7 linked regions of the Sus scrofa genome follow. The protein of the gene in region 7 interacts with the protein of the main gene of each other region in a pairwise test. Links are inferred from orthologs where the notes say so. Each region holds a gene or a part of one and is shown on either strand. Other genes may lie near its edges. The genes, in order: EIF5A2, REL, NUDT18, MAPK3, NIF3L1, RPL9 and DHPS.

What was found.
Region 1: the proteins of DHPS (region 7) and EIF5A2 interact in binary tests that used the Homo sapiens proteins (3 or more experiments, as listed by UniProt). The two-hybrid records come from large-scale screens. The link is inferred for Sus scrofa from reciprocal best matches to the Homo sapiens genes DHPS and EIF5A2.
Region 2: the proteins of DHPS (region 7) and REL interact in binary tests that used the Homo sapiens proteins (3 or more experiments, as listed by UniProt). The two-hybrid records come from large-scale screens. The link is inferred for Sus scrofa from reciprocal best matches to the Homo sapiens genes DHPS and REL.
Region 3: the proteins of DHPS (region 7) and NUDT18 interact in binary tests that used the Homo sapiens proteins (3 or more experiments, as listed by UniProt). The two-hybrid records come from large-scale screens. The link is inferred for Sus scrofa from reciprocal best matches to the Homo sapiens genes DHPS and NUDT18.
Region 4: the proteins of DHPS (region 7) and MAPK3 interact in binary tests that used the Homo sapiens proteins (3 or more experiments, as listed by UniProt). The link is inferred for Sus scrofa from reciprocal best matches to the Homo sapiens genes DHPS and MAPK3.
Region 5: the proteins of DHPS (region 7) and NIF3L1 interact in binary tests that used the Homo sapiens proteins (3 or more experiments, as listed by UniProt). The two-hybrid records come from large-scale screens. The link is inferred for Sus scrofa from reciprocal best matches to the Homo sapiens genes DHPS and NIF3L1.
Region 6: the proteins of DHPS (region 7) and RPL9 interact in binary tests that used the Homo sapiens proteins (3 or more experiments, as listed by UniProt). The two-hybrid records come from large-scale screens. The link is inferred for Sus scrofa from reciprocal best matches to the Homo sapiens genes DHPS and RPL9.

What each region holds. Positions count from the first base shown.
Region 1 is NC_010455.5:109,527,651-109,531,880, forward strand, and holds the start of EIF5A2 (eukaryotic translation initiation factor 5A-2), read right to left. Parts: upstream 2,801-4,230; 5' UTR 2,654-2,800; intron 1,983-2,653; 5' UTR 1,948-1,982; coding exon 1,783-1,947; intron 1,261-1,782; coding exon 1,156-1,260; intron 1-1,155. UniProt on the Homo sapiens protein: Translation factor that promotes translation elongation and termination, particularly upon ribosome stalling at specific amino acid sequence contexts.
Region 2 is NC_010445.4:80,874,216-80,877,765, forward strand, and holds part of REL (proto-oncogene c-Rel), read right to left. Parts: intron 2,913-3,550; coding exon 2,140-2,912; 3' UTR 1-2,139. UniProt on the Homo sapiens protein: Proto-oncogene that may play a role in differentiation and lymphopoiesis.
Region 3 is NC_010456.5:6,378,907-6,383,027, forward strand, and holds NUDT18 (8-oxo-dGDP phosphatase NUDT18), read right to left. Parts: upstream 2,807-4,121; 5' UTR 2,652-2,806; coding exon 2,490-2,651; intron 1,569-2,489; coding exon 1,355-1,568; intron 1,102-1,354; coding exon 509-1,101; 3' UTR 81-508; downstream 1-80. UniProt on the Homo sapiens protein: Mediates the hydrolysis of oxidized nucleoside diphosphate derivatives. Hydrolyzes 8-oxo-7,8-dihydroguanine (8-oxo-Gua)-containing deoxyribo- and ribonucleoside diphosphates to the monophosphates. Hydrolyzes 8-oxo-dGDP and 8-oxo-GDP with the same efficiencies.
Region 4 is NC_010445.4:18,296,581-18,300,885, forward strand, and holds the start of MAPK3 (mitogen-activated protein kinase 3), read right to left. Parts: upstream 2,831-4,305; 5' UTR 2,810-2,830; coding exon 2,637-2,809; intron 1,597-2,636; coding exon 1,414-1,596; intron 1-1,413.
Region 5 is NC_010457.5:104,582,350-104,586,646, forward strand, and holds the start of NIF3L1 (NIF3-like protein 1), read left to right. Parts: upstream 1-1,451; 5' UTR 1,452-2,659; coding exon 2,660-2,815; exon of another isoform or gene 2,816-3,009; coding exon 3,010-3,484; intron 3,485-4,297. Other genes in the region: PPIL3 (peptidyl-prolyl cis-trans isomerase-like 3), read right to left, coding at 344-346. UniProt on the Homo sapiens protein: May function as a transcriptional corepressor through its interaction with COPS2, negatively regulating the expression of genes involved in neuronal differentiation.
Region 6 is NC_010450.4:30,696,371-30,700,648, forward strand, and holds the start of RPL9 (60S ribosomal protein L9), read right to left. Parts: upstream 2,820-4,278; 5' UTR 2,797-2,819; exon of another isoform or gene 2,731-2,796; intron 2,348-2,730; 5' UTR 2,347-2,347; coding exon 2,301-2,346; intron 2,211-2,300; coding exon 2,095-2,210; intron 1,107-2,094; coding exon 1,011-1,106; intron 1-1,010. Other genes in the region: LIAS (lipoyl synthase, mitochondrial), read left to right, coding at 3,078-3,188, 4,074-4,246.
Region 7 is NC_010444.4:66,306,147-66,308,295, reverse strand, and holds the end of DHPS (deoxyhypusine synthase), read right to left. Parts: intron 2,108-2,149; coding exon 2,004-2,107; intron 971-2,003; coding exon 845-970; intron 749-844; coding exon 653-748; 3' UTR 523-652; downstream 1-522. Other genes in the region: WDR83 (WD repeat domain-containing protein 83), read left to right, coding at 330-467. UniProt on the Homo sapiens protein: Catalyzes the NAD-dependent oxidative cleavage of spermidine and the subsequent transfer of the butylamine moiety of spermidine to the epsilon-amino group of a critical lysine residue of the eIF-5A precursor protein to form the intermediate deoxyhypusine residue.

The sequences.
Region 1 (4,230 bases), on a different chromosome or scaffold from region 7:
AAAAAAAAAAAAATTATACAACACAGTATAAGGTATAGAAAGAAATCAGCTTAAATTGGATAAAACAAATCTGAGTATTACACTTGTATATTTCACTGTGTAAAATGAATAGAAAAGAGTTCAATACAAGATAAAAAAATTGAAGACTTTCAAGATTAATCTGAGCTCCCACATCCTATGAGGTCAGTGGTTTAGTTACCAAGAATACTCCAAACAAGAAAGTGCTATCATTAAATATGACTTATCCAAATGTATAACTGTAACTAAAAATTGCAGTTTATACACATAATTTAACCAAAGGTCACAGCACGGTCATGGAACATAAATAAAACAATTACAAAGTTTTTGTATTTTCGGATTTCCCATAGTGGCTTGGTAGTTAACGAATCTGACTAGGAACCATGAGGTTTCAGGTTCGATCCCTGGCCTTGCTCAGTGGGTTAGGGATCTGGTGTTGCCGTAAGCTGTGGTGTGGGTAGTAGACACAGCTTGGATCCCATGTTGCTATTGCTGTGGCTCAGGCGTAGGCCAGCAGCTACAGTTCCAATTGGACCCCCAGCCTGGGAGCCTCCATGTGCTGCATGTGCGGCCCTAGAAAAGGCAAAAAGACAAAAAAACCCAAAAAACAGAGTTTTTGTATTTTCTTCACCATATTCAGTGACGCTATATTTTATACACTTTCAACTAATTTCCCCATTTAAGAACACCAAATTCTGACACACATTCATTAATATGCACAAACTTGGTCGGCAGAAGATGAATTCCAATAATTTCTTGAGCACCTGAAGTCTGATAAGTGAAAAGAAATACCCAGGAGGGAGTTATCTAAACTTGAAATAATTTATAACAAAGAGAATAGTAATTTTAATAAACACTGGACTAACAATAGGGAGTCAGTCACTTGATCTGAGAAACAATGATTGTTCGAATTTTAAAAAATGCAAGAATGTTTAAAAATGCAGACTAGCTATCATCCTAGTTAAGGTACAGGTGTTAAATATTACTATTTCTCCAATCTTCTATGGTAAGTGGTACCTAATAATTGGTTAGAAAAACCTACAAAACTACTTGTGGGTTTTATTAAATTACAATGGCAGTAGAAAGTATCTGCACCTTGAGGACATGAATAGTATTCTAAAGGAAATTAGTACTTACTTGATAATCATTTCTCTTAATATTTGGAACATCCATGTTGTGAGTGGAAGGGCAAATATCTTCATACTTTTTGCCAGTGAAAATATCAATTCCAACAAGGTGAACCTAACAGAGAAAGGAGAACAGGAAACCTGTTTAATCTTTGCCAAGATATCACTCATTACATACACAGGAGCATAATACCAGCACTGATTATGACAGATTCTTTCACCTTCCAAGGTCATCTAATTTTACTTTCTTAAAAAAAAAAATGTAGTGGCATACAACTGAGAAGCAGTGAACAACTAAAGAATATCATGACATATCAAGACCCAATATCATATAGTCTAATAATTCAGTCATAAGAATGCTTAAGAAAAATGAAGTTAGGTTCCTTAGAATGATGTTAGGTTTTTTCATTTGTAAACTAAATAGACTAAGTTACTAGGATTCAGGAAAGTTTCAGTTTACAGTTAATGAAACATTATAAGAGCCGAAGAAGGAAATATTACCTTTCAGTATTCAAATAGCTAATCACCCAGTAACTATGGGATATTAAACAATTATAAGTACAGAAAACTCATGTTCTGTAATGGAATACAAATAATCAAAATCCCAACCCCGAGATAGACCTGAAAGGGCATTTACCTTGGCATGACCGTGCTTTCCAGTTTTGGAAGTTGACATCTCCACTATTTTGCATGGTCGACCTTTGAGCACCACGAAGCCGTTTTTGCGCAGGGCCGAACACTGCATAGGGTAAGTGCTGGAAGCTCCAGCATCTCCAGTAGTGAAATCAATTTCATCCGCCATGGTGGGCTGGGAAGATGGTTGCTTTTCTGAGGGAACTATGCAAAAAGTTTGTTTGCTTTTTAACAACTGGCATGCAGGCAGGGAAACCCCTCATTTCGGGTTTCCAAGCATTATGGGTCTATTATTTTTGCATTTATAGAACACCCACCCAGAAGAGTAGGGACTTTCTAACTCTGGCCTTACAAACTTTTCCATCCTCTGGTAGGGAGGTGGGAGGGAAGTCGAAGAAAAGCTGGCTGTGGATGGGGAATCCCCGCCTTGGGCGCTCACCCGCGCTGAGGGCAGCAAATCCCGGCCCCCACAGTCCCATCGCAGAAGAAGCTGGCGACCTTCCCGCACTGTGCCGCGCAGTCTGGCCCTCCGCAGCCGCCCGGATCCCCACTGTGGGGGGGCCCAGCCCAGGCCGCACGTCCCCGCGAAGGATGGGGATAACAGCACCTGGCCAGCAGCACTTGGCCCTCGGGCAGCGTGTGCGCACTTCTCCTCCCAGCCCGCAGCGCCGTCACCTCGACCTCTCAGACGCCCCCTGTCCTGCCAGCATCCCCGGCCCGGTCCCGCACGGGCCTGAGCCCTGGCGGGTCCCGCGCTCGCCTCGGTCCCCCATCCATCCTTCCTTTTTTCCTCGGTTGGGGCTGGGCTCTGGCCGGCTTCTTCTGCCCTGCCTCGCTCCGGTCCCGGCCCCACCAGCCTTTCCCCTATTCTTCACCTTTCAGCCGGGAAAGAGTGCCTTTTGCCTGCGCACCGGTGCGGGTCCCCCACAGCTGCGGCGGCGGCAGCTGTGGCGGCCGCCGCAGTTCCAAGAGACGGGGCGGGGCCGTCACACTTTCCACACCCCGGCCTCCCCGCCCTTTCCCGCCCCCACCTCAGCTCCACTTCCGGGATAGGTCCCGGCGCGTCATAGGCACCGCCCTCTCGCGCTACCATTGGCTACATGGTTCCCGAGGGCCCGCCCAGTCACGTGAAGAGCGACCTGGCAACCCCACGTGCTGCGGATTAGTGCACTTCCGGCGTGAAGAGCACTTTCTGGAGTTCGGTTGTTGAGGGTAAACACGCCGGCAAGGAAACTTGTTCCCTCAAACTTTTGAGTTCTTTGCGTTGGCGTCTCAGTTGAAGTTAAGGAGAACCAAGCCACGCGCTCCGTGGCCTTTGCCCTCAGGTGCCAGGCGGTTGTCACGTGACAGCTGTCAGACTTCGCGAGGCTTGATAATTCAATGGTTATCCCTTGTGGCTGTGGAGGGAACTTTGGGTTCCCATTTCTGGCCCAACTTGCAGCCCTTCTTGGCTTTCAAAACCATGCTTCTTCCTTGGGGAAGAGCCAATGTAGTCTACCTGGCCCCCACTGCAGGCTGTGCGGGTGACCCCAGCCACCCATGATGAGGTTCTGGCAGCCACTGCCACTGGTGCCCCGCCTGGATCAGCAGCGCTCTGGCGGGGCAGGGGAAGAGGAGGCTGAGACGTCCAAGAACTAAAAAGCTGTGGAATGACCTAACTCACTTCTCACACCGGACGCTGTTGCGGAGTTTTGGAGGCAAATGAGTGTCAGATTCCTACTGCGTTATCCAGCAGAAAGATGTTCTTGCCAAACTCAGCTCTTCCTTCGTCCTGGAATTGCCTTCCTTCAAGTCTGAGGTGTGTCCATACCTCATTAGAGCAGTTTGGTTTGTCTTGGAATCAACGTGGTACCAATAGCGACTTGAATAGGATTAGGACGAAGATTCTTTTTTTTTTTTTTTTTTTTTTTTTTTTGTCTTTTTGCCATTTCTTGGGCCGCTCCTGCGGCATATGGAGGTTCCCAGGCTAGGGGTCGAATCGGAGCTGCAGCCACTGGCCTACTCCAGAGCCACAGCAACGTGGGATCGGAGCCGCGTCTGCAACCTACACCACAGCTCAAGGCAACGCCGGATCGTTAACCCACTGAGCAAGGGCGGGGACCAAACCCGCAACCGCATGGTTCCTAGTCGGATTCGTTAACCACTGCGCCACGACGGGAACTCCAGGACGAAGATTCTTAAAAAGAGATGTGTTCTGGAGTTCCCATCGTGGCGCAGTGGTTAACGAATCCGACTAGGAACCATGCGGTTGCGGGTTTGGTCCCCGCCCTTGCTCAGTGGGTTAACGATCCGGCATTGCAGTGAGCTGTGGTAAACGTTGCAGACGCGGCTGGGATCCCATGTTGCTGTGGCTCTGGCATAGGCCAGTGGCTACAGCTCTGATTGAACCCCTAGCCTGGGAACCTCCACATGCCGCGGGAGTGGCCCTAGAAAAGACCAAAAAAAAAAAAAA
Region 2 (3,550 bases), on a different chromosome or scaffold from region 7:
TTGCTGAATTTGTTGATCAGTTCAAGCAGTTTTTGTGTGGAGTCCTTAGGGTTTTCTATATGTAGTATCACGTCATCTGCATACAGTGATAATTTTACTTCTCCTCTTCCAATTTGGATATCTTTTATTTCTTTTGTTTGTCTGGTTGTTGTGACCAGGACTTCCAATACTATGTTGAATAAAGTGGTGAGAGTGGGCATCCTTGTTTCAGATTTTAGTGGAAAAAGGCTTTCAGCTTTTCTCCATTGAGTATTTGCTGTGGATTTGTCATAAATGGCTTTTATTATATCAAGGTATGTTCCCTCTCAATTTGGCATTTTAAAGAAATTTTTATTTACATGTAAATCTAGGAAACTCCAAGAAGCCTCAGAAAACCCCTTAGGGGTCACCTTGGCCCATGGGCCTCAAAAATAATAAGGAATTAATTTTTCCAATGGCATAGCCATTACAGGTTTTACCTTCAATTTGCTTAAAAGCAAATATGAATTAGTTCACTTAACTAAGAATATATTAATACATCATAAAAGAAGTATAAAAGAGTGCTCAGGGGAGTTCCCATAATGGCTCAGTGGTAACTAATCTGACTAGTATCCATGGGGACACAGGTTTGATCCCTCGCCTTGCTTAGTGGGTTAAGGATCCTGCATTGCTGTGCCTGTGGTATAGGCCAGCAGCTGCAGCTTTGATTCAACCCCTAGCATGGGAACTTCCATATGCCCTAAAAAGCAAAAAACAAACAAACAAACAAAAAAACCTCCCCAAAAATAAATAAAAATTAAAATTAAAAAACCAAAAAAGTGTACCTGGAAAAACATTATAGCCTTGCTATAATGTTCTCAGTCTGTCTTGCGAAAAAGTGACAGGACTCTCAAGACAATTCCCACCACACACAGAATGAGATCACATGTCTTCAAAAGGAAAAAAAAAAAAAATAATAAAAGAAGAAATAGTAAAGCCCTTTTAAATTTCTATTTTGGAAAATTTTCCTTTTGTGACTGTTTCCAACTTTGTATTCTGCATACCAAGAGTATATACAGGTTTAAAGGGGGGGTTTTTTGGCCATACTCATAGCACACGGAAGTTCCCAGGCCAGAGACGGAACCCGAGCCATAGCAGTGACAATGCTGAGTCCTTAACCACTAGGCCACCAGGAAATTCCCAGTTTAATTGTATGTAGGATTCCACAATGCATCACAGCCTAGGAGTTCGGTCTGTGTGGATTTATCTACTTTTGAAGCAAAAGTCTTCTGTAAATGCTGGACAAATTTTTCTAGCTCTTCCTGAAAGTGGGAAATGAGTTCATCTCCCTTTTTAAGCTGCAGCTTCAAGCACTGAGAATTCATCTTTCATTTTATCTCGACAAATTCTCTGCCAGCAAAACAAGAAGCTCCCAAGCCAAGACTGCCTGTTAGAGCAATCCATCCTCTACATACCTAAAGTTATAATTACAGTTGACCCTTGAACAACACAGGGGTTGGGGCACTGAGCCTCTGTACAGTGGAAAATCCATGTTTAACTTTAAAACTCTACAGATGGCCTCCTGTCTCTGCAATTCTGCATCCATGAATTCAGCCCGTCTCAAATCGTGTAGTACTGCAGTACTTGAACAGTAAAAAAAAAATCTGTGTACTGCACAATGGACCACACAGTTCAAACATGTGTTGTTCAAGATACTATTCCCTCTGATAAATATGTTTTTGAACTATCATCCCTAAAACATAACCAAAAAACTCCCTTGTGTCACAGTTGTAGTCAGAGAAATATAAAATTTTGCATCTACATAGATAAAATCAAAATGGTGACAACCTTTAAAGAGATTGAATTCTTTTTTTAGAAGTTTCCTTTATTTTGTTTTTTATTTTTAAAATTTTTATGGCCGCACCCACGGCATATGGAAGTTCCCAGGCTAGGGGTCGAACTGGCGCTCAAGCTGCCAGCCCATGCCCCAGCAAAGTGAGATCCAAACCACGTCTGCAACCTACATGGAAGCTTGTGGCAATACCAAATCCTTAACCCACTGAGCAAGGCCTGGGATTGAACCTGCATCATCATGGACACTGGTCAGGTTCATTTTCACTGAGCCACAATGGGAACTCCAAGAGATTTAATTAATTCACCATTTAAATCTTACAAGTTAACCTAAAAAAACTCAAATGCAAATGAGTCACTCAATTGTTCATTCTGCGTAGTGCCAATACCTGAATACTGACTATTTTGAACAAAACCATGACTGTTTGGATTAGTACTGTTTGATGGTCCTGACTCGTTTATCATACTGTTATCTGCACAATTAAAGTCAGATCCCTCAAATGCCTCTGACTGGGAAACAAAAGCAGTAGTACTGGAGCTGGTGACTGTTGACATACTGGAAGACGACATCTGATGGAGCTGTCTCAAGTCTCTTGGGTCTAACACTGAATTACAGGAAGGGTTTTCAAGATTCACGCTCACAAGTCTCGGATTATCAGTCTCCCTCATGCTGTCGTTACTGGGCGTTATCATGTTCACAGGACAATGAGGCAGCATGCTGGCATCAGAAATACCATATAAGTCAGCTGGTGACACAGACGATGCTTCCATTCTGCCTATGTCATTTGTATTATTATAAATGCAAGCATTAGAAGTATTCAGATCATTCATAACAGGCATTTCCAGGAATGGCGTGATAACATGTGAATTAGAGGAAAGGGTCCCTGGTGAGAAACCACTCAGTGAATTTGTATTGACTGAGCGTGAGGTGGGGCGGGCCACTGATGACCAGCTTGAAGAAGGCTGAGGTACCATTGTGGGTATGGTTGAAGCAGGATGTGACAATGCACTTGAGATGGATGAGGAATAGTAGGATTCTGCTTGACTTGAAACTGGCCTGGATGTTTCTGTCAAAACTGCACCATGAGAAAACAAGTTTGATTCTGTGGGAGATGAAATGTATTTTTACAAAACTGAAATGAACGAAATTATTAAAAGTATTATTTCTAAATTAAAATTACATAAACACACTAAAAATTTTCAAGGAAATTAATGTAACATTTCAAATAAAAATGGTAACTATTACAGGAGTCCAGAATTGACTTCTCTAATGCTTATTGTTTCACAAATACCTATAAAATGATTTTGGTTATTTTGGCATAGAAAATTTCATTCCAGTTAATTGTGAAAATATAATTTCCAAGGTCCTATAAAGGTATTTTGGGAGTTCCTGTCGTGGCGCATTGGAAACGAATCTGACTAGGAACCGTGAGGTTGCAGGTTCGATCCCTGGCCTCTCTCAGTGGGTTAAGGATCTGGCGCTGTCATGAGCTGTGGTGTAGGTCACAGATGCGGCTCAGATCCTGTGTTGCTGCAGCTATGGTGTAGGCTGGCAGCTGTAGCTCCGATGAGACCCCTAGCCTGGAAACCTCCATATGCCACAAGTGTGGCCGTAAAAAGCAAAAAAAAAAAAAAAGGTATTTTTGAACTGTGAAAGATAAATATCAGAATTTCAGTTAATGGGTCTCCAAAGAGTAAAAGTCATTTCATATTCTCCAGTTTTAGGAGAACAACTGAGGGA
Region 3 (4,121 bases), on a different chromosome or scaffold from region 7:
CCACTGAGCCACAGTGGGAATGCCCCACCACCACCTTCCTGCTCATTCCCTCCCCGCAGAGACAATGAGGTGAGAAGGCAAAGTGAGCAACACCTCTTTACTCAGCCAGGGACCCACTCCCTTGGAATGACCTTCCTCAGTGCCCCCTCCCTGTTCCAAGTGCCCAAGGATCCGGATGAAGCCTTCACTGAGGCAGGCCTGGAAAATGATGAGGCGATGCCACCCCTGGTTCAGAAAGTCCTCACATCCCCTTAGGGAGTCATGCCATCATTGTCCCCTTGGGCAACTGGGTCTATGAGCTCTGCTTGATTGAAGGCACTGTCTCTTTTGGTGCAATGCAGAAACCTGGTCCATGGTGATGAGAGACAGAAGTCTCCCTCGGAGCCAGGAGAACTGTCCTGGTTCTGATGTGACAAGATCCCTGACTGCCAACCCTGTCCCCCTTAGAGGAGGCAAAGCCTCCTCTAAAGCAGAGATGCCCATGTCCTGGCCCACAGACAGCAGCCTCCTATCTATTGATTGGGACCACAGATGATTCCTGAAGCCTCTGTAAGAGCTGGCTTTGTAGGTCTTCCTCCACCTTCCACCAAAAGAAGTTCTCACCCCGAACCTTTGGGGGCTCATTTTGGATACCTGGATTCCGGAAAGCCACCGTCACCAGCACGTTTAAGCAGATGCCATCCGTTTGGTCTCTGCCCAGGTGCTGCAGTCCAAGCAACCCCTTGGTCTCCACTGCCAAATGGTGCAGGGTCAGGCACTCCTGTAGCAGCCTCAGGACAGCCATCTTGATGCCACCCCTCTGGTCCATGGGAGCAAAGCCACAGGCGGTGATGGGCAAGTGAGGCATCCCCACAGTGCCAACCAGCACCCACACTGTCTGGACACTGGTAAAGGTGGCCACAAGCCGCTGGCAGATCAAACTGCAGGGAAGCTCTTGGGGCAGAATGAGAGGGTGCCTGGCTTGCTGGCGATACTGCACGGCTAGCTCTACCAAGTGCAGAATGTCATGGGCTCGAAGTGGAGTGGGCAGAGAGGTTCGTGGGTACCAGCCAGCCTGCAAGGACTCTGCATCTGCTTCCTTGGAAGTCTTAAGAATTCCACCTGGGATAGATGTGGGGGAAAAGGACGTGGAAAAAGTCTGTTGAGGGAAGTGCTGGACCTGGCAGAATAAAGGCCCACCCAGGAATCGAGCTCTGACCCAGCAGGTGCACAGGAGGCCCTGAGTCAAGTCTCAAACTGGAATCTGGCGATGCCAGGCTTGAACCAGCCAGAACAGGGGTTCAGCTCACCTGAGAACAAGCTGGGGAAATGGTGTCAACTGCCCCTGCCCACACTGCCACCCACTGGGCCATACCTGTAGGGCGAGCAAGGAACACGAAGCGGATCCAGGAGGGGCCCCGCTCCTCCAAGGACAGCAGTGTCAGAGGCTCACAGTGCAGCCCAGCCTCCTCCTTCACCTCCCGCTGCAGCGCCTCCACGATGGTCTCCCCAGGCTCCATCCTCCCCGCGGGTAGGTACCACGACCCACGGCACTCTTTCTTGGCTTCCTGGACGAGTAGCACCTCATCCTGAGGGGAGAGAGAGGATTCTTAGCCACCACAGCTGGGCTGGGAGCTCCAGGGGAGTGGGACAGCCAGCAACCTTCACTTGCCGAGATCAAAGCTCAGGTACAGCTGCTAGTGGACACCCTGAAATTGCTGAGCTCCCCAGGGGCCTGGCCCTTGTGTGTTGGTAGATTGCAGCTGTCTCTGCAATTCATCCCACTTTGTATTCAAGTTTCCATTTCAGAAGGGGGCTGAGATTCCTGTGAGCTGCTTCAGGGGCCAGAGAACAGGCCTCACAGCGAGGGTTGTTACCATGTGCCCCGCCATGATTTCTGTCTGCACCAGTCAATGATCTCTCCCACCTCCCTCGTGGTTTATAAACTGCTTGTGGCCAGTCTTCACACTGGGCTGTCAGCTTTGAAACACACCCCAAACCATGGCCCCATTGAACTCCTACCTATGGCCCTGACGCCTTCTAGCTCTTTTTACAAGCCACTTATGCAGGGATCTACACCAAAATGAGCATCACACAGGAAGTCAGAAGGTCAGAGTGTAAGCGCAGGTTGTGCAGTTACTGCCCATGGGACCCAAGGGGGGAATCTCTGAAGAACTGGACAGATCTTTTAAAAAAAAAACCACGTCGCGGCGGGCACTTTGCTAGATTCTGGGGAAAAGAGGAGGAAGAGACAGCCCTCTCCTCAAGAAACTGAGGCCTAGTGGGATGAGACAGACGGCTCCTGGGCCTCAGTTTCCTCCTCTGTACTTCGTGACAATTGCAGGGCTCGGCCGCACCAGGCTCAGATATAAGTGTAAGAGTGCTTTGCAAAACTGGGAAGAGCCACACACCAGGAAGCGGTGGCTGCTGCCGGTAGGTCCTCGGTCCCCACCGGGGCTGGCTGCGCGCTCCGGAGGTCCGGGCGGTGGGCCCGACCGGCGGACGCTCACCTGCTCGTTGAGGAACACGGCCAGCACCACGTAGCAGACATTCTTCCGCAGCCGCACGGGCGCCAGCGGCTCCCCGGCCGGTTTCGAATCGCAGCTCTGTACCCGCAGACCCCGGCCCCCCAGAACGGCCGCCAGCGCCCCCGCAAGGCCTTCCGAGGCCATCGGGTCCCCTAAAAGGCGATGGGGAGGGCCCCGAAGACCCGCCGAGAAGGGTAGGGTGGACGTGGGTGACCAAGGGACTCGTCGCCCCCAACCCCTCCCCCTGCGGGCTCGGGCGGAGAGCGCTCGCGAACGCGGAAGCACCCGGCAGGCCCTGGCCGCTGATAGGCTACGCGTCACCGCGGCCGGCTAGGATTGGCTAGAGCGTGTTCGTCACTGTGAGGCGGAGCCAGTCCATAAGGGGCTGGGCGCCGCGCCCCCGCTCTGCGGCCCCCGGCAGGCTTCTGACGCTCGGTGGCTCCCTCCTTTCTCCCCGGCGTCTCCCGCCGCCAGCCTCGCTAATTCCTCCCGCGCGCACTTGTCTGAACGGGTTCCGACGGTGACGTCACCCTGCCCGCAGGCTGCGGAGCGCCGCAGCCGCCAGCGACGGTGACGTCACAAGCCCGATGCTGTCACCGGGTCCGCCCACGGCTTGGACCCACTGGCTAGCTTTTGTCATAAACATACCACTGCATTACCTGAAATGACACTGCCCAAATAACCTTTCTTCGCTTAGAATGTCACGGGGCAAGGAGGACGAGAGCTCCTGCCTTGGAGGAGATTCCGATCCAGCTGGAGAGGTGGCCATAGCTATATAATGGAAAGTCAATGGACTTAATAAGCCAAGTGCTAAATGACTGGTTTGGGCAGGAATTGCTACAGGCGCTCAGAGGAGGGAGGGAGCAGAGCTGGGAAGGTCAAGGTGTGCCTGGCGGTGGGAGGCTGGGAGGCGAGGATTTGATGCAGAGAAAGGGCCTGGGATCAGCCCTCAGCAGTGTCCCTGGTCCCTCGCCTCCGGCGGCCACATTTCCCAATCATCAGTTTCAGGGCCCTCTCCCGCCAGGGGCGGGGTTCTGCCTTTTGTCATTGTTGCACACACACACCCCTAACACTTTCACAGGGCCTGGTCCATTGACAGCCAGGTGCGGGTTGTTTTTTGGGGAGCTCCTGCCTCTCCCCTGGCCTGACCTTGCCTCCTCAGAGCGTCTTTAACCTCCTCTCAGGACAGGGAGGCAGGGCCAGCTGGCATGAAACTGAAACCAGCCATTTCTGAGCTGCTCAGCCCCAGTGAGATCTCCCATTTCCCTTCTGCTGGCTTTGGGCACATCCCTTTTGGGGTGACAGTTGCTTGGTGGAGCAGACAAAGCATTGGACTTGGAGCTGGATGCCCAGCCACTGCTCCCTGGCTGATCTGTGCCCTGAGTAAGTTGTGGGCCTGTTCCCTCATCTGTACAGTAAGCTCCTGACAGCTCTTCCTTCCCAGGGCTGTCGGGAAGGTGAGACGTCGTGAGAGGAGCCCGGTAGACTGCGAAGTGTGGGTCACCATCAACAGGCAGCCCACCAACCTTCTGGCCACAGCACTTGTTGCTACCACACAAAGACCCACTTTCACAAGATGTGCCTAGAGAGCTGCCATGAACTAGATGTTACTCT
Region 4 (4,305 bases), on a different chromosome or scaffold from region 7:
CTTCTGGGCATGGTTTGTGCAAGACAAATGAGGAGAAACCCCCAACAGCAGGCTCCTACTCAGGGTGCTTGGCCATACACCCGAAGATCGAGGGGTATATGAGTCCTTTTAGATCCTAAGATAAAACAGATTAAACATAAAGAAATGTCACATGACTTGTTTCTGGAAGAATAAATTAGGACTGTCAGAATCGGCCTCAAAAGGGCCTTCTGAGAACATCCGGACCAACCCTGCTGCGTTGTTTGTTGTTGTTTTTTCTTTCTGCTTTTTAGGGCCACACCTGCAGCATATGGAAGTTCCCAGGCCAGGGGAAGAATGGGAGCTGCAGCTGCCAGCCCATGCCACAGCCACAGCCACAACCACGCGGGATCCGAGCCGAGTCTGCGACCTACACCACAGCTCATGACAATGCTGGATCCCCAACCCACTGAGGCAGGGGATCGAACTCGCATCCTCCTGGATACTGGTGGAGTTTGTTACCGCCGAGCCACGACGGCAACTTCCCCTGTTTTAAAGATAAGGAAGCCCAGCAAGGTGCAGTGACTTGGTTAAGGTCACACGGGAAGCTGGGGGTAAGCATGGAGATTTCCTGCCCACACTTTGTGGTGGGGGCTGCAGACACTGCAGTACAAATCCCCACTCTTGGGTGGAGGACTGGGACTGGGGGGTGGGGTAGGGGAGAGGCAATGGGTGTTACGAGCTGCTAACAGTGCCAGGCAGGAAGTGGACAACAAGCTAGGAAAGTGGCAATGGGGGGAGGGCAACGAAGGCAAGGCTGACCCTCCCTGGGCAAGGTGCAAGTCCACGGGGGATCAGGGTGGGGATCTAAGCGGGAAGTCCCAGAGACAGGAGGACAGGTTCTCATCTGGGGGAAGGGTGGAGGCAGCCACAGGCACCTGACGTTGGCCTTTCTGAGCCTCAGTCTCCTCCTCTTTGAAATGGGGCTGATGAGCCCCAGCGCAGAGGGCAGCTGGGGGTCAGATTAAGAAATGTCGACGCACTCGGTGCACAATGCACCCAGACTCATAGTAGGCCCTCAAAAAGGGGGCACTTTTCTTCCTTCGAGTCCGAGGACCCAGGCAAGAAAGAATCGCCCTCTGTTAAACAAAAGAACTGACTGTGGGCAGAGGCTGGGTCACGTCACAGGACGGCAGATGTCACAAGACAAAGCTCCCATAGACACCATCTTCCCCAGCCCCCTCCTGGGGCAGAGCTTAGAGAACAGACTTGCCCAAGGCCACACGGCCTGGCCGGTCCTCGTACACCTTGTGGCCTCTTTCTGCTGGAAAGTCTGTTGAACTGGGGTTGTCTGGAAGGGTGGTAGGGAAGAAGGAAACAGAAAGCAAGCCAACATTCTCCCAGCCCAGCTCTGAAGCTGTGCCCGGCCAGCCGTCTGGCCAAGGTGAAGGATACACATCCCTCATGGCTTCCAGGGTGGGTGCCCGCAGAATGTCTCGGATGCCAATGACGTTCTCGTGGCGGAAGCGTAGCAAGATCTGGATCTCTCGCAAGGTCCGCTGGCAGTAGGTCTGATGCTCAAAAGGGCTGATTTTCTTGATGGCCACTCGAGTCTTGCGCACATGGTCGTAAGCTGAGCTGAGAGGGCCGGAGAGATGTTGGTGGTGTGGCCTTACCAAGCGGGGGGAGTCCAGGCCCGGCGGCGGGCCCCACCCAGGCCTTGGCAGGGAGGGGAGGGAGCAGGAGAGACTGGCCAGAGCCAGTCATAAACAATGCTGGTTCCTTCCTGCTGTGAAGGCCTGGGATCTCCAGGGAGAAAGCTGGGGACCAGCCAGGCAGCCCTTCAGTGACTTCACAAACAGAGGAAGGGACTGACCGATCGCTGACTTCCCTTCTCCTCAACCCTTTCCATTCTAGTGGCCCTCACCCCTCATCCTCCCCTTCCCCGGATGGGCTCCCTCTACCCAAGACAGGGCCAGGGGCGGGAGGTGTGAGGGACATACAGGGAGGCGAATCCAGGAAGAAGGAGGGATGGGAGAGAAGGGATGCAGCAGGGGCGGGTGTCAGGGGGAGGTTCCCGGGCAGCAGAGCTAATCCCTGATGAACAAAGGCCCAGGGCCCCCAGTGGGGCTGGGAGAACTCACAGAGCCCTCCTGAAAGTTGCAAGAAGGCACTCCGGGACCCCCTCATTGCTCACTGGGTCCCTGGCCCCAGGCCCAAAGCCCTGCCCCACCCTGTCCAGCCCTGAGCTCTGCTCTTCTCTCCCAAACTCCTAGATTCGACTCCCGGGGGGCAGATCCCAGGCGCCCTTTCCCTGGGAAGGGTCCTTCCTGCCGTTTTCACCAAGGATATGACCTCCCCCAGAAGACTTATTCTCTTCTCTTCGCCCTGTGGCTATAGACTGCCCAAGGTCCCCACAGCTCCCCCACCTAGAGGCCCTTCCCTTCATTAGAGAAGGTTCCCCTCAAAACCCCCCAAGCCCCCCTCTTCTTAGATCGTAGGCAGCGCCCCCTCCCCCAGAAAGCACTCCAAGGCCCTCTCCCTGGGGCGCTCTCCAGCCTCCCGAAGCCCCTGCGGCTTCACGATGCTCAGAGACCCCAAGGCCTTAGAGAGCTCTCAGCACCCCTCCCTGGGATCGCCCTCCTCTAAGACGCCCCCTCCCCTGGAACGCCCCTCACCTGACCATGCCGTACGCGCCCTCGCCGATGTATTGCAGCTGCGTGTAGCGCGGGCCCACGTCGAACGGCTGCCCCTTTACTATCTCCACTTCCCCCGGGACCCCAGGGCCGACCCCATCGGCTCCCCGGGGCTCCCCGCCCCCGCCCCCCTGAGCCGCCGCCGCCGCCGCCATCTCCACTCCTCCCCTCCCGCCCGCCCGCCTCCCCCCCCGGCGGCCCCGCCCCTTCCCGCCCGCCCTGTCACCCGCGGAGCCGCGCGCGCGCCAGACCCCGCCCCCGCCCGCCCCCGCGCCCGTCACGTGACCCCCACCCCCCCGCAGCGGCGCCCAGCTTTCTGGGCACGGATGCCATGGTCCCTGGCACTTGTGGGCTCCGTCTACTCGGTCAATCTAGAAGCTCCCCAGGGCCGTCTGAGACGGTCCAGAACCCCACTCCCCCCCTCCAATGCAGAACAGCCAGTAGGGCCGCCCCAGTGACCTCACCCAGAGCCACCAAACAAGGGCTGGGATGAGGGGCCAAGACTGGGCCGCCTGGTCCCCGCTGCTTTTGCCAGCCCCACTCAGCCCGGCTGAGTGGTCCGGCTCCAGATGGAACCTTAGGGGACCCTCACCAGCCCTCTGGCGTTTGGCCTCCCTGAGCCCGGCCCGATGCTAAGTGATCCCATGCATATTTCACAAAAGCGGTGGGAGATGGCTTTCTCCTAGAGGTAGCCTGCCTTTCACAAATGAGGAAACTGAAGGCTGAGCAGCGCAAGGTCCTTTGGAATCGCGCAGACAACTTGAGATCTGGAAAGCCCAGGTGTCCGGACTCCCAGCCTAATGGCTTTTGACTGGAGGCCTGCCAGAGTGGGCTAGGGACCTGGCCTCAGCACCCAGGCGGTACTGGTATCCCCAGGATCATATCATTGATGATCCCATGCTTCCTTTACAGGGAAAGGGGGGGAGAGTCCAGAGAGCTGCATGCAAGGTTGACACGATCAGGCTTTGCCCAAATATAGCAAGACGGGTAACTTTTTTTCTGTCATTGGATTTGGCAAAAATTGGAATCCTGTTAAGATCATCATATTTTGATTCTGTATGAGACTTGAACATATACTTAATACTTGGCCCACTCTAGTCGCTTCATTAGAACAATCCCACAATATAAACGTCAACTGCTTTTCTTTCTTTTTTTTCTTTTTGCTTTTCAGGGCCACACCCACGGCATATAGAGGTTCCCAGGCTAGGGGTCCAATTGGAGCTACAGCTGCCGGCCTACACCACAGCCACAGACACGCCAGATCTGAGCCGTGTCTGTGACCTACACCACAGCTCAGGGCAACACTGGATCCTTAACCCACTGAGCAAGGCCAGGGATCGAACCCACAACCTCATGGCTCTGGTCAGATTTGTTAACCACTGTGACACGACGGGAACTTCTCATCTGCCTTTCTTAACTGGGTAGGCAGGGGCCATGTCTTTCTTGTTCATGGCTGAATCCTCGACCCTCAGACACTCAAAAAAAAAAAAATTAATGGATGAATCAAGTTTTACAGAACAGGAAATCTGGAGTTGGGGAGCTGAGACTCAACATGGTGTCTTCTGACAGAGAAGCAGAGGCTCTTTTTAATTCCATTCTGTTTCCCAGAATCAGAGTCTGCTAAAAAACTGGAGAGAGGGCCCACCCAGTC
Region 5 (4,297 bases), on a different chromosome or scaffold from region 7:
ACCAAAGCCATGGCAACCTGGGATCCAAGCCAAATCTGCAACCTACACCACAGCTGACGGCAACACGGGATCCTTAACCCACTGAGCAAGGCCAGGGATCGAACCTGAATCCTCATGGAGGCTAGTCAGATTTGTTACCACTGAGCCACAATGGGAACTCCGAAAAACATAAGAATTTTAAAGTGATTTTGTTTCGGTTTTGTTTAGAATCATTTTATACTCTACACTTCTACAGCTTATCATTTGTCTTGTCATTGAAATCTCCATGCAGTTTTATTTCCCTTGACTAGATTTCTAAAAATTATATATACAAAGACATTCATAAGAATTCTATAAAACTTACCATTTTTCTTCTTGATGGTTTCAGGATGTACTGTTACTTTCTTACAGTTTATTGACAGAAGTTCAAAAACGAGCCTCTATTTCCAAAAGAAAAAGAATTAATTCATTTCCCTCTTTTAACTCAAACATGCTCATGTTTCCTGCATATTTAAAAGAAAAATTCTCGAGGAGAACAGATCCCTCCCAAGTAATCCGGTTGTGGAAGCGATCAAGCAATCCTACTCATCTCCAGCCCCTAAACTCCTACTTCCCCTGCTTACTCTTCAAGAAGAGTCTGATACATTTCTGCCTTAAGCCTAGCATTGGGTTTTCCCTTCGCCTGGAACACTTACACTCAGTACGGCTATTTCCCTCACCTCCAAGTCGCTGCTCAAAAGTTAAGTCTCATTGACCTGATAAATCTATTTAATACTGTCTTAAAGATTTCCTTTCCCTAAAGCACTTAGCACTAATATATTATATGCTTTAATTGCTTAATTCAACAACACCCTCCCCTCCAGAATACTCACTCCAAGCAGCTTAAAAACTAAAGCATAGAGCGCTCTTCCAGTGTTCAAGTGAATGAAAGAGTAAGTGACGCTACCCCATACTTACTTAACCACTTCACTGAATACAGATATTTTTTTAGTCAAGAAATAGATTAAGATAGGAAGCTTGTGAGAAATTCAAGTGGTCAGGCAAGGAGGCTCTGCCCACAGCTGTTGTTAAAACAGCAAAGATTCAATAACAGGTGCTCCGGAGAGTCTGTAAATTCCAAGAAAGTTTCTTCAGGCCGCCACCCGGAAGTCGAGCAGGAGACCCACTTAGGAGAACGCCCCTCCTCTGCTCACCTCCTTCCTCCTCCTCCCTATCCCAAACCCAACCGACCAGAACGAGGGAGAGGATGTAATTTATCCCCATCAGGAACTCCTTTGACCTTAGAGAACTTCTTAAATAATCACACTAGGACAAAAGGCGTAATGTTGGGCAATCCCTACAGGCGCCCCTGAACTCAGATGCAAAATAGGAAAGACCTCTTCCGCCCAGCTCCCCCGCCCCGCCCACTTTTACGCCTCCAGGAAGTTCTGCGCAGGACCGGAAGTAGCGCTCTTGGCAACCTGGGACTGGTGATTCTCCGGTGGGTTAGATTCCTGCGTGCGGCAATGAGGCCCTGTCGGCGCGCTGTGGCCCTTGCAGGCTGAGGTTTTGGGGGTGCTGCCGCGAAAGGAGGCGGGGGAGGAGATAGGCGCAGAAAACCGGTTTGCTGCACCAGAGCCTAGGGTTCTAGAGCGGCCAGGGTCCTGACTCGCGGCTTGCCCACTGTGCTCCCCGCACTTTTAATTGTTCTGGAAAAGGCTTGAAGTGGGGCTGAAATAAGAGGGCGAGGTTCACAGGCTGTAAAGTGGGTCCTGCTAATAATACTTATTAACAAGCAGTGCTGACTTTAGGCCAAGCATTTTCTCCAACTTTACGGTGAAATCTTGCGACGATACCGTGAGCTGAACGCTATTCTATTCTTCAGAGATGGGAACCGCAGAGATAGAGTAATCTGTTTAGACAGCTGCGGCTCGGGGAGTCAGTCTGGTTTTAGGGTCAGGTGCCCTTCACACTGTGCCCTGCTGCCTCCTATTCTTGTTAATGAGCTACGCAGCTTGTAGATTCATAGGAAATGGTGGTTTTGTTATTTCCAAGGGCTGCTTCAGATCTAACAATAGATAACTCAAAACCAGTGTGGTGGCCCACTAGAGCTTCACTTTAGCGCTTGCCAGATTTAGAAGTCTGGGGAGTTGGAGTAGTGTCAGGGAATCTGGAGAGTGGAAGTGGTATAAGGACCCTTAGAAGATCTTCAAAGACCCCAGGCTCCAGTGGTTTGTGGAGGCTCCACATGACTCCAAACCATATACTGAATATGGTTTGGGGCCCATTTGCTGCCCATTCATAGAGTGATCCACGTACGCATCCCATGATTCTGGCTGCTGACAAAACACTTCATTTTTAAAATATGTTGTTGTTACTTTTTTCCCATAAAGCACCTTTTAATGTTTGTCTCTACCACCATAACTTAATTCTGCTGTGATAAGGGAATGGAGACTGTGCCGGTCTGTGCAGTAAGCATTTAGCACTGGCCTGTATTGGTGATACTGAGATACAGAAGAGATAGTTCCTGTTCTCTGGTAGCTTGCCAGTACTGTGGGAGACAGAAAACAGGAATGTAACATAAGAAAAACTAGGGCAGAAGCAGGTGGGATGGGGGAGGGGGACACAGAAAAGGAAGGTTTGTTAAGAAAAGCTTTATTTAGGAAGTCAAAGGGGACTTGGAAAGAAGGGTAATAGAGAAATGGAGAAGGCTGGTTCAAGCAAGGATGGGGTGAGCAAGAACAAGGATGTGGGGTGGGGGCAGGAAGGAGATGAACATAATTGTGTGTTATCTACCAGGCTTGTTCCTGGTGACTTAAACATAGTAATCCATTTGCTTCTCCAGATGGCCCGTGAGGTAAGTTATAGTCCCTCCATTTTGTAGATTCGAAGACAAGCTCAGAGGAGTTAAATGACTTAGCTATGATACGACGTGCTGGTAAGTAGCAAAGCCAGTACTTGAACCTCGGTTGAAGGATGGCAGCTCTTCTGCTCATATGCTTTGCTGTCTCAAAGGTCAGAGTCTGAAGTGCACGTGTATTTCATTTTCAGTGTTTTGACATCAGATACTCGGTTTCACCTGACTTCTCTATGTTGTTATCCCGTGTACGCCTGGCCTCCACGACAGTCCGATTTGTTCATTCCCTGATCTGCAGTTCTTCCCGTTCCTTCATGGATTTGAAGGCCCTCCTTTCTTCCTTGAATGACTTTGCATCCCTCTCATTTGCTGAAAGTTGGGACAATGTTGGATTACTGGTGGAACCAAGCCCACCACACACGGTGAGCACCCTCTTCCTCACCAATGACTTGACAGAGGAAGTGATGGAGGAGGCACTGCAGAAGAAGGCCGATCTCATTCTCTCCTACCATCCGCCCATTTTCCGACCCATGAAGCGAATCACCTGGAAAAGCTGGAAGGAACGCCTGGTGATCCGGGCACTCGAGAACCGAGTTGGGATCTACTCTCCTCACACAGCCTATGATGCTGCCCCCCAGGGAGTCAACCACTGGTTGGCTAAAGGGCTTGGTGAGAAGCCTATTGGTCTTTCATGCTTAGTATTTTCCCTACCAATGATGTGAAATTTTAGAATGTCTTTCCTGTAGTGTGTTAACCACTATAAGGGGGAGGACCATTATTCTGTTTTTATGTATTTTAAAATAATCTTGCTGAAACTTGACAGTTAAATTGCACTGAAAAATGAAAATTTGGGGAGTTCTCTTGTGCTGTAATGGATTAAGGATCCCCGGCATTGTCACTGCAGCAGTCCAGGTTGCAGCTGTGGCTGGGAATTTCCAAGGGCTGTGGGTGCAGCCAAAAAAAAGTGTTTTGTTTTGTTTTCTTTTCTTTTTCTCTTTTTATCCTTAATGAATAAGGAGTTCATCAGAAGTCTTTATTTATTTATTTATTTATTTGTCTTTTTGCTATTTCTTTGGGGCTGCTCCCACGGCATATGGAGGTTCCCAGGCTAGGGGGGGTCGAATCGGAACTGTAGCCACCGGCCTACGCCAGAGCCACAGCAACGCGGGATCCGAGCCGCATCTGCAACCTACACCACAGCTCACGGCAACCCCGGATCGTTAACCCACTGAGCAAGGGCAGGGACCAAACCCGCAACCTCATGGTTCCTAGTTGGATTCGTTAACCACTGCGCCACGACGGGAACTCCAGAAGTCTTTATTTTTGACTAAATTTTGTGATTCCTTACTCATGGAGCACAGTGCCTAGCATTTGGGCACTCCAGAAATGCTTGTTAACTGAAAGCTCAGGCCTCTCTAGAATCTACTTCATATGTCTAGTAAAATAGAGTTTTATTGAATTAGTCCCAATGTCTAGCATAAT
Region 6 (4,278 bases), on a different chromosome or scaffold from region 7:
ACTGAGCCACGACGGGAACTCCCATCATTGTCATTTTTTTAAACTATCACCCACACCAAAGCTTCACAGCAATTTTATTTATTTTTTGCTTTTTATGGCTGCACCTGCCAGTCTACACCACAGCCACAGCAACGCCAGATCCTTAACCCACTGAGCAAGGCCAGGGATAGAACCCACATCCTCATGGACACTAGTTCGGTCTGTAACTGCTGAATCACAAAGGGAACTCCCTCAGAACAATTTTAAATACATTTGTTTCTGTCTCCTCAATGGACTGCAAAGCTCCTAAGGAAGCAGATATTTTACTACCTCCTTTGCCCGTGGTGAACAATGCTAGCCTCCTATTAAAGTATAACTCTAAAGCCCTTCATCTTGGGCATTAGGCTAACATACTGAATTACTATGGTATGCCAGAGGGCCAGAATTGAGAATATCAAGACACCACCGCCGCCCCCCGCAAACAAAGACTGGAAACACAAGGGGAGACATGGCCTGAAAGGCTTATAATGGAGTTGCGTACAGGGTGCCGCTATCAGATTGCGCTCTAGAAAGGCTGAAACAGAAACACTCCAGCAAATATCCAGAATCAACTTTACCTTAAAGACTGAAAGCTCAGAAATAAGACTTAATCTTTCCCTAATTCCCACAAGATACCCTGGTGGTGAGAGGCATAAGACAAGAAACCAACCATTCTATGTGTTAACATTTTCTATTAAAAACCCCCCTGAAATTGTGAATGTTATCTTTCGGGTAAAACAAATATATATATAATCAGCGTATTATCAAGACCATCTGGTCTAGACTTATGTATCTCCCTTTATCATAAGACCCAGGAATACCTAACACATTTGCCAAGATCACCTTTTCCAAAATACTACAGCCGCTAAGTTATATGCAAGTATAAGTTACTCGCACAAAGTATTTTCTACAATAGACATTTATGTTGCATACATAAAGATAGCTGACAAACCTCCCCCTTCTAAGACAAGAAGTCTGATTAATCTGCTTACCAGTGTAACACCCTTGATCATATTCTGTACATGACTACAGATGGTGCGAACAGTTGCCAGTTCCTTTCTATTTCCCCACCATTTGTCAACCCGGAGCTGTAACAGAACAAAAACTTCAGAAAATTCTTTCCAGTATTAAGTAGCCTTGAAATAAGGTCCATTTATCCACAGTAATTACTCTAGATTCTAGTATTTGTCCTAATTACAAAAAAAAAAAGCAACCACAAAGCCCTCAGCAATTAACGGTTTTTGTTACTATACATTAGAAGTATACACTTTCACAGAGGAACAACCCAGAAAGTTTTGTACAAGTTGCATCAAACTTCACTTCTGGAAAGCTAAAATACCAGGTTCAAAAGAACTCTGCTGCACCACTATGATCCTTACAAAACAATCAAGAAAAATAAACCCAATTTCTAACAGTATTAAGGCCTGCTATTTAATAAATATTACCAGTACTGAGGTTTATAACCCAGTTTACTTTGGTTTTCCAATTTCACTAAAGCACCGACAACAAAAAAAAAAACTAGTTACAATTTTGGACACTAAATTATAAGATAAAACATTGAACCTCAATTCCATAATTTCTCAAAAGTTTTTATTTCTTCTATTATGGTTGACTTACAACATTCCATCAACTTCTGCTTTAAAGTCACTCATTCATACATATAAATATTCATTCCTTTTCTCACATTATCCTCCTTCATGTTCCATCACAAGTGACTGTAGTTCCCTATGCTGTACAGCAGGATCTCATTGCTTATCCACTCCAAATGCAATGTTTGCATCTACTAACCCCAAACTCCCAGTCCATCCCACTCCCTCCGCCTAGACTAGAACAGACTAGAACCAATAGTCTGTTCCCCAAGTCCAAGAGTTTCTTTTCTGTAGGTAAATTCTTTGGTGCTGTTAGACTCCAGAGAAAAAATTATCCATCAAATGGTATGTCTTTCTCTAACGTACCTCACTTGGTATGAGTCTCTATTCCATCCATGTTGCTGCTCAATTCTGTAGTTTTTAAAACAACTTGATATTCTTAAATTACAACTTTCCAAACAAACTGAGGTGATTAAACAAAACTCACCCTCTTCTTTTTCTTTCCAAGGAGACTGAGTTCTACATTGATGTGGTTGAAGTCCCTCCTCAGAGTGCCTCTGGGGCCCTTCACAATGACTGTGCGTCCTTTTAGTGTGATGTCGACTATGAAAGAAACATACTCGTGAGGCATCGAAACAAATTAGAACGCACGCAGTAAAAACATATGAAAAAAGCAAGCACCAAGTCTCCTACCATTTTCTGGAATGTCGACAGTCTGATTGCTGAGAATGGTCTTCATTCTGAAACACAAACACTTGGGTAAGAAGGTCGCACAGGATTTGTTTTGGGCCGAACTACCTTGCACAGAACTCCACTCCTACCAGAGACCGGCAGGCAAAAATCTCGGGGAGGATACAGAGGACTAATCCCGGAAACGGCCCCAGCTGCGCCTTGGCTTGGAAGGAGCAGCTCCTAAACAGTTATTAAAAACCCAGCGGGCGAACTCCCGGTCAGCGCAGCTCTGGGAAGTCCTATCAAGTCGGCGCCATCCCGGCAAGGCTGAAGGGCGGCAGTAGGCCTAAAAGCCCAATACAAGGCTCGAACCCCATCGCCACCAGACTCATATGACGCTCGCCGCGCAGGGAGACAAACAAGACACGGTTTCCGAGGGCCACACCCGCACCTCTGGCTTTCCCAAAGCCGATGCCTTCAGATTCCCAAGGCCCACCGAATACAGAATCCACCTTACCTCGCAGTAGATGCGGCAAAGAGAGAGCGTCTTTCGTCATCACGCTTTTGTAGTACGTAAGGGTCCTGCGTATGGCGTCATAAGCGCGCGACACCACGAGGCTAAAGCAGCCAATCGTAGAGCAGCGCAGGTTCCACCGGGTCAGTGTTGGCTCAGGTTGTTTGTCATAAGTGGAGCGACGGTGTGTCCTTCTCTTTTCCCGGGAATTAGTGATTGTTCCTCCCTGCCAGAAAAAAAAAGTGCAGGATGGCTCTACGCTGCCGGGGCGCCGTCCGCACTGTATGCCCCCGGGTGAGCGGCGGGGCGAAAAGGGAGCGGGCGTGGGGTGGGGGTTCCCATCCCTGAAAGTGCCCGATAATGCCAGCGCTTACCCGGCGTTTACTTCTAGCCAGGTACTGTTCTAAACATTTTTCGTATAGCGTCTCATTTAATTCTGACATGGTCATGAAGTTAAGACCTGATACTGGTTTTTTTGTAAGTCTGTGGCCCGCGCTCTGAGACCTTTTTTCCTGCTATCAATGCAATGATTTGTACTCTTGTATTTATTGGAGCACTATAGAAGCGCTGCAATGAAACTCCAAATTACTACTTGGTGTTGGTGTCTCCTGTGTACTAGACACCACTTTGGGCGATTAAAACCCAAGTCTGTGCTCCAGGCTTGAGCGAGAGACCTGGGCAAGTACAGTAGCTATCGTGCAGCATCCTAATAGGCACTCTTTTTTTTTTTTTTTTTTTTTTTTAATAGTTGAAGGTTCTTTTGCTTTAACAGTACTACCTCTTGAATTTTATGGTGTTTTGTCTGTCTTGTACATGTATGTGTTCAAATCTAGAAACCGATGGCTTCTTATGGTCAACAAATACATGAGTGACTTCCTTGTTCACACACAGTATAACCAAGAAAATTAAAACATTAGGTTTAGTTTCCCTTCTTCCACTTCTCTGAAATCAGCTGAGAACTACCTCCGTGTTTTAGCAGGTATTCTTATTCAAGCCCAAAGCAGAGAGATTAATTTCAAATTTCATTTAAACATACTTGACTCAAGTCAGGAATAGAAAATTCAAAGCTGTAGCTCCCATTCTCCTTTGGGTTTGGTTTGTTCTCCTTGGGTCATCTTTAATTTCAGATTCTGAGCTCCTTACATTGAGCTCGTAAATAGATTAACATAATTTCTGAATCAGTTCTGTGGCTTTACCCATCCTTTTAGGTATTAAACGAGTTTAATACTAAGTTATTCCAAAGCCCCCTAAATAAATGTCACAATGAACTCTTTCTGTAGGTATTTGGAAGATATTTATGCAGTCCAGTCAGAGCAATAAGTTCCTTGCCAGATAAAAAAAAGGAATTTTTACAGAATGGACCAGACCTTCAAGATTTTCTATCTGGTGATCTTGCAGACAAGAGCACCTGGGATGACTATAAAGGAAACCTAAAACGCCAGAAAGGAGAAAGGTAATTGAAATTTTGAGGTAATTTTAATGTCC
Region 7 (2,149 bases):
GAAGTGAGCACTAAGACCGTCAAGTTGGCAGGTGGAGCCCAGGTGGCAGCAGGGGGGTGGGGAAGCGGGGACCCACATGAGAGTCATCAGTTCCTAGGCTAAAGGCCAAGCCAAGAGGATTTACTGACAAAGGGATGTCAGGTGTGAGAGAAAGATTCGAGGTGTTTGGCCTCAGCACCTGGAAGAATGAGTGACCGAGGGGTTCAGTTTGGAGCTGGTTAGGTTTATGGTATCTTAGAAGCAATTACCGGCCTGTGGCTGAGAGCAGGGGAGAGGCGACTGAGGGGAGAGAGACACTGATGACCACTCCCTACCCCCTCCCTCCACAGGGTGTCCTGGTGCTGGCCCTGCCCGTGGGTCCCAGTGTGGTGCAGTCACTGGCCTACCACCCCACGGAGCCCTGCCTGTTGACCGCCATGGGGGGCAGTGTCCAGTGCTGGCGGGAAGAGGCCTATGAAGCTGACTGAGGGGGGCGCAGGTTGAAGCCAGGGGACCCACTACCAAGGACACAGAGAGACCGCCTGAGAAGGACCACTGAGACCATTTATTCTAGAGATGCTGTTGACCAGGGAGTGGGGAAGAGGCTGGCTGGGTCTGCAAACTAATAAATAAAGGAGGGGTGAGGCCTCCCTGGGGCTGCACCATCCAGTGTTCAGTCCTCGTTCTTTTCGGGCATAAAGGCATTGGCCTTCTGGGCAAAGGTTTCAGCCACGAGCAGTGGGAAGACCAGGGAAGCATCAGCATAGACCTGTGGGGGGGATGGCGGGGGAGACCCAGGTGAGCCAAGGGACCTGTGGCCACAGCCTGGGAGACCCTGTGCCCCAGCTGGCTGGCCAGCCCTCACCTTGACCGGCTGTGCATCCATCCGGATCTTGCCCCAAGAGACAGCCTCATCGGGCCGGGCGCCTGAATCAGAGCCATCAAACTCCTGGGCTGTGTTGATGTAGACCGCATAGTCAGCCCCATTCCGCTATGGGGAGGGGCAGAGTGGGCTGGTCAGCCAGACACATCCCAAGGCAGGGCACCACAGCCAGAGGCTGCTGAGGGCTCCATCCCATATAAAAGAAGCCCTGGTGACCCCTCCCTCCAAGGGAAAGGCCCAGTGTCAACATCTGGGTAGAGTGAGGAGCTGGGGGATGCCAGGCAGACAGTGGGCAGCGCTGCTCCAGACTCACTTCCTAGGTAGCAACAGCCCTCCAACATTTGCCACCAACTCAACAAGAGACTTCCAAACCTAAGTATCTCTCCCCTCTCTATGCGCCATCCCCTCCCCTCCCGCCATTTGTTCCCCCAGAGGGCACTTTTGAGCACTTGAGTGGCCCTCAAGGCCCCCGCCCTGCACTTTGAATCACCTCCCCCACCCTCACCTCCCACTCTCCTTCACCAGCCTCCTAACTGTTCCTTGACCAACTTCAGGCACCTGAGAACCTTTGCACAAACTGTTATCTCCCCCACCCTCCAGCCGGCCACATAACCACATTCCTCACAGGGGCACGCCCTGAAAACCTCTGCTCATAGGTCACATTTTTTTGTTTTTCCTTTTTTTTGGCTTTTTAGGGCCGCACCCATGGCATATGGAGATTCCCAGGGTAGGGGTCTAATTGGAGCTACAGCTGCCGGCCTACACCACAGCTCATGGCAACGCTGGATCCTTAACCCACTGAGCGAGATGAGGGATCGAACCCAAAACCTCATGGTTCCTAGTCGGATTCATTTCCGCTGCGCCATGACAGGAACTCCATGGTTTCCCTTTTTTGAACAGCACCCCTTTCTCTTCCCATCTCACCATCCTCCCTTATTTTTCTCCATAGCAGTCACTGCCACCTGCTATACATGTCACTCGTTCCACTGTCTATATCCCCGACTAGAACATCAGTTCCAGGAAGACAGAGATCCTGGCCTGTCCAGTCCACAGCTGTCTCCCCAGCATGTGGCATGAGACCAGCCTGTCTGCACGGCAGGCCACCCCTACTAGGGACCACACATACCCCATCCCTGCTCACCATGAGGTTGGCGTTGGCAATGTGGTGCTTGACCATGCCACCACCCAGGATGATCATCCCAGAGCGCTTGGCGAAGATGGCCTGTGTGTTGATGAGCCTCAGGTCTGGGAGAGGGGGCTGTGTCAGGCCACAGGCCCAGGGAGCCT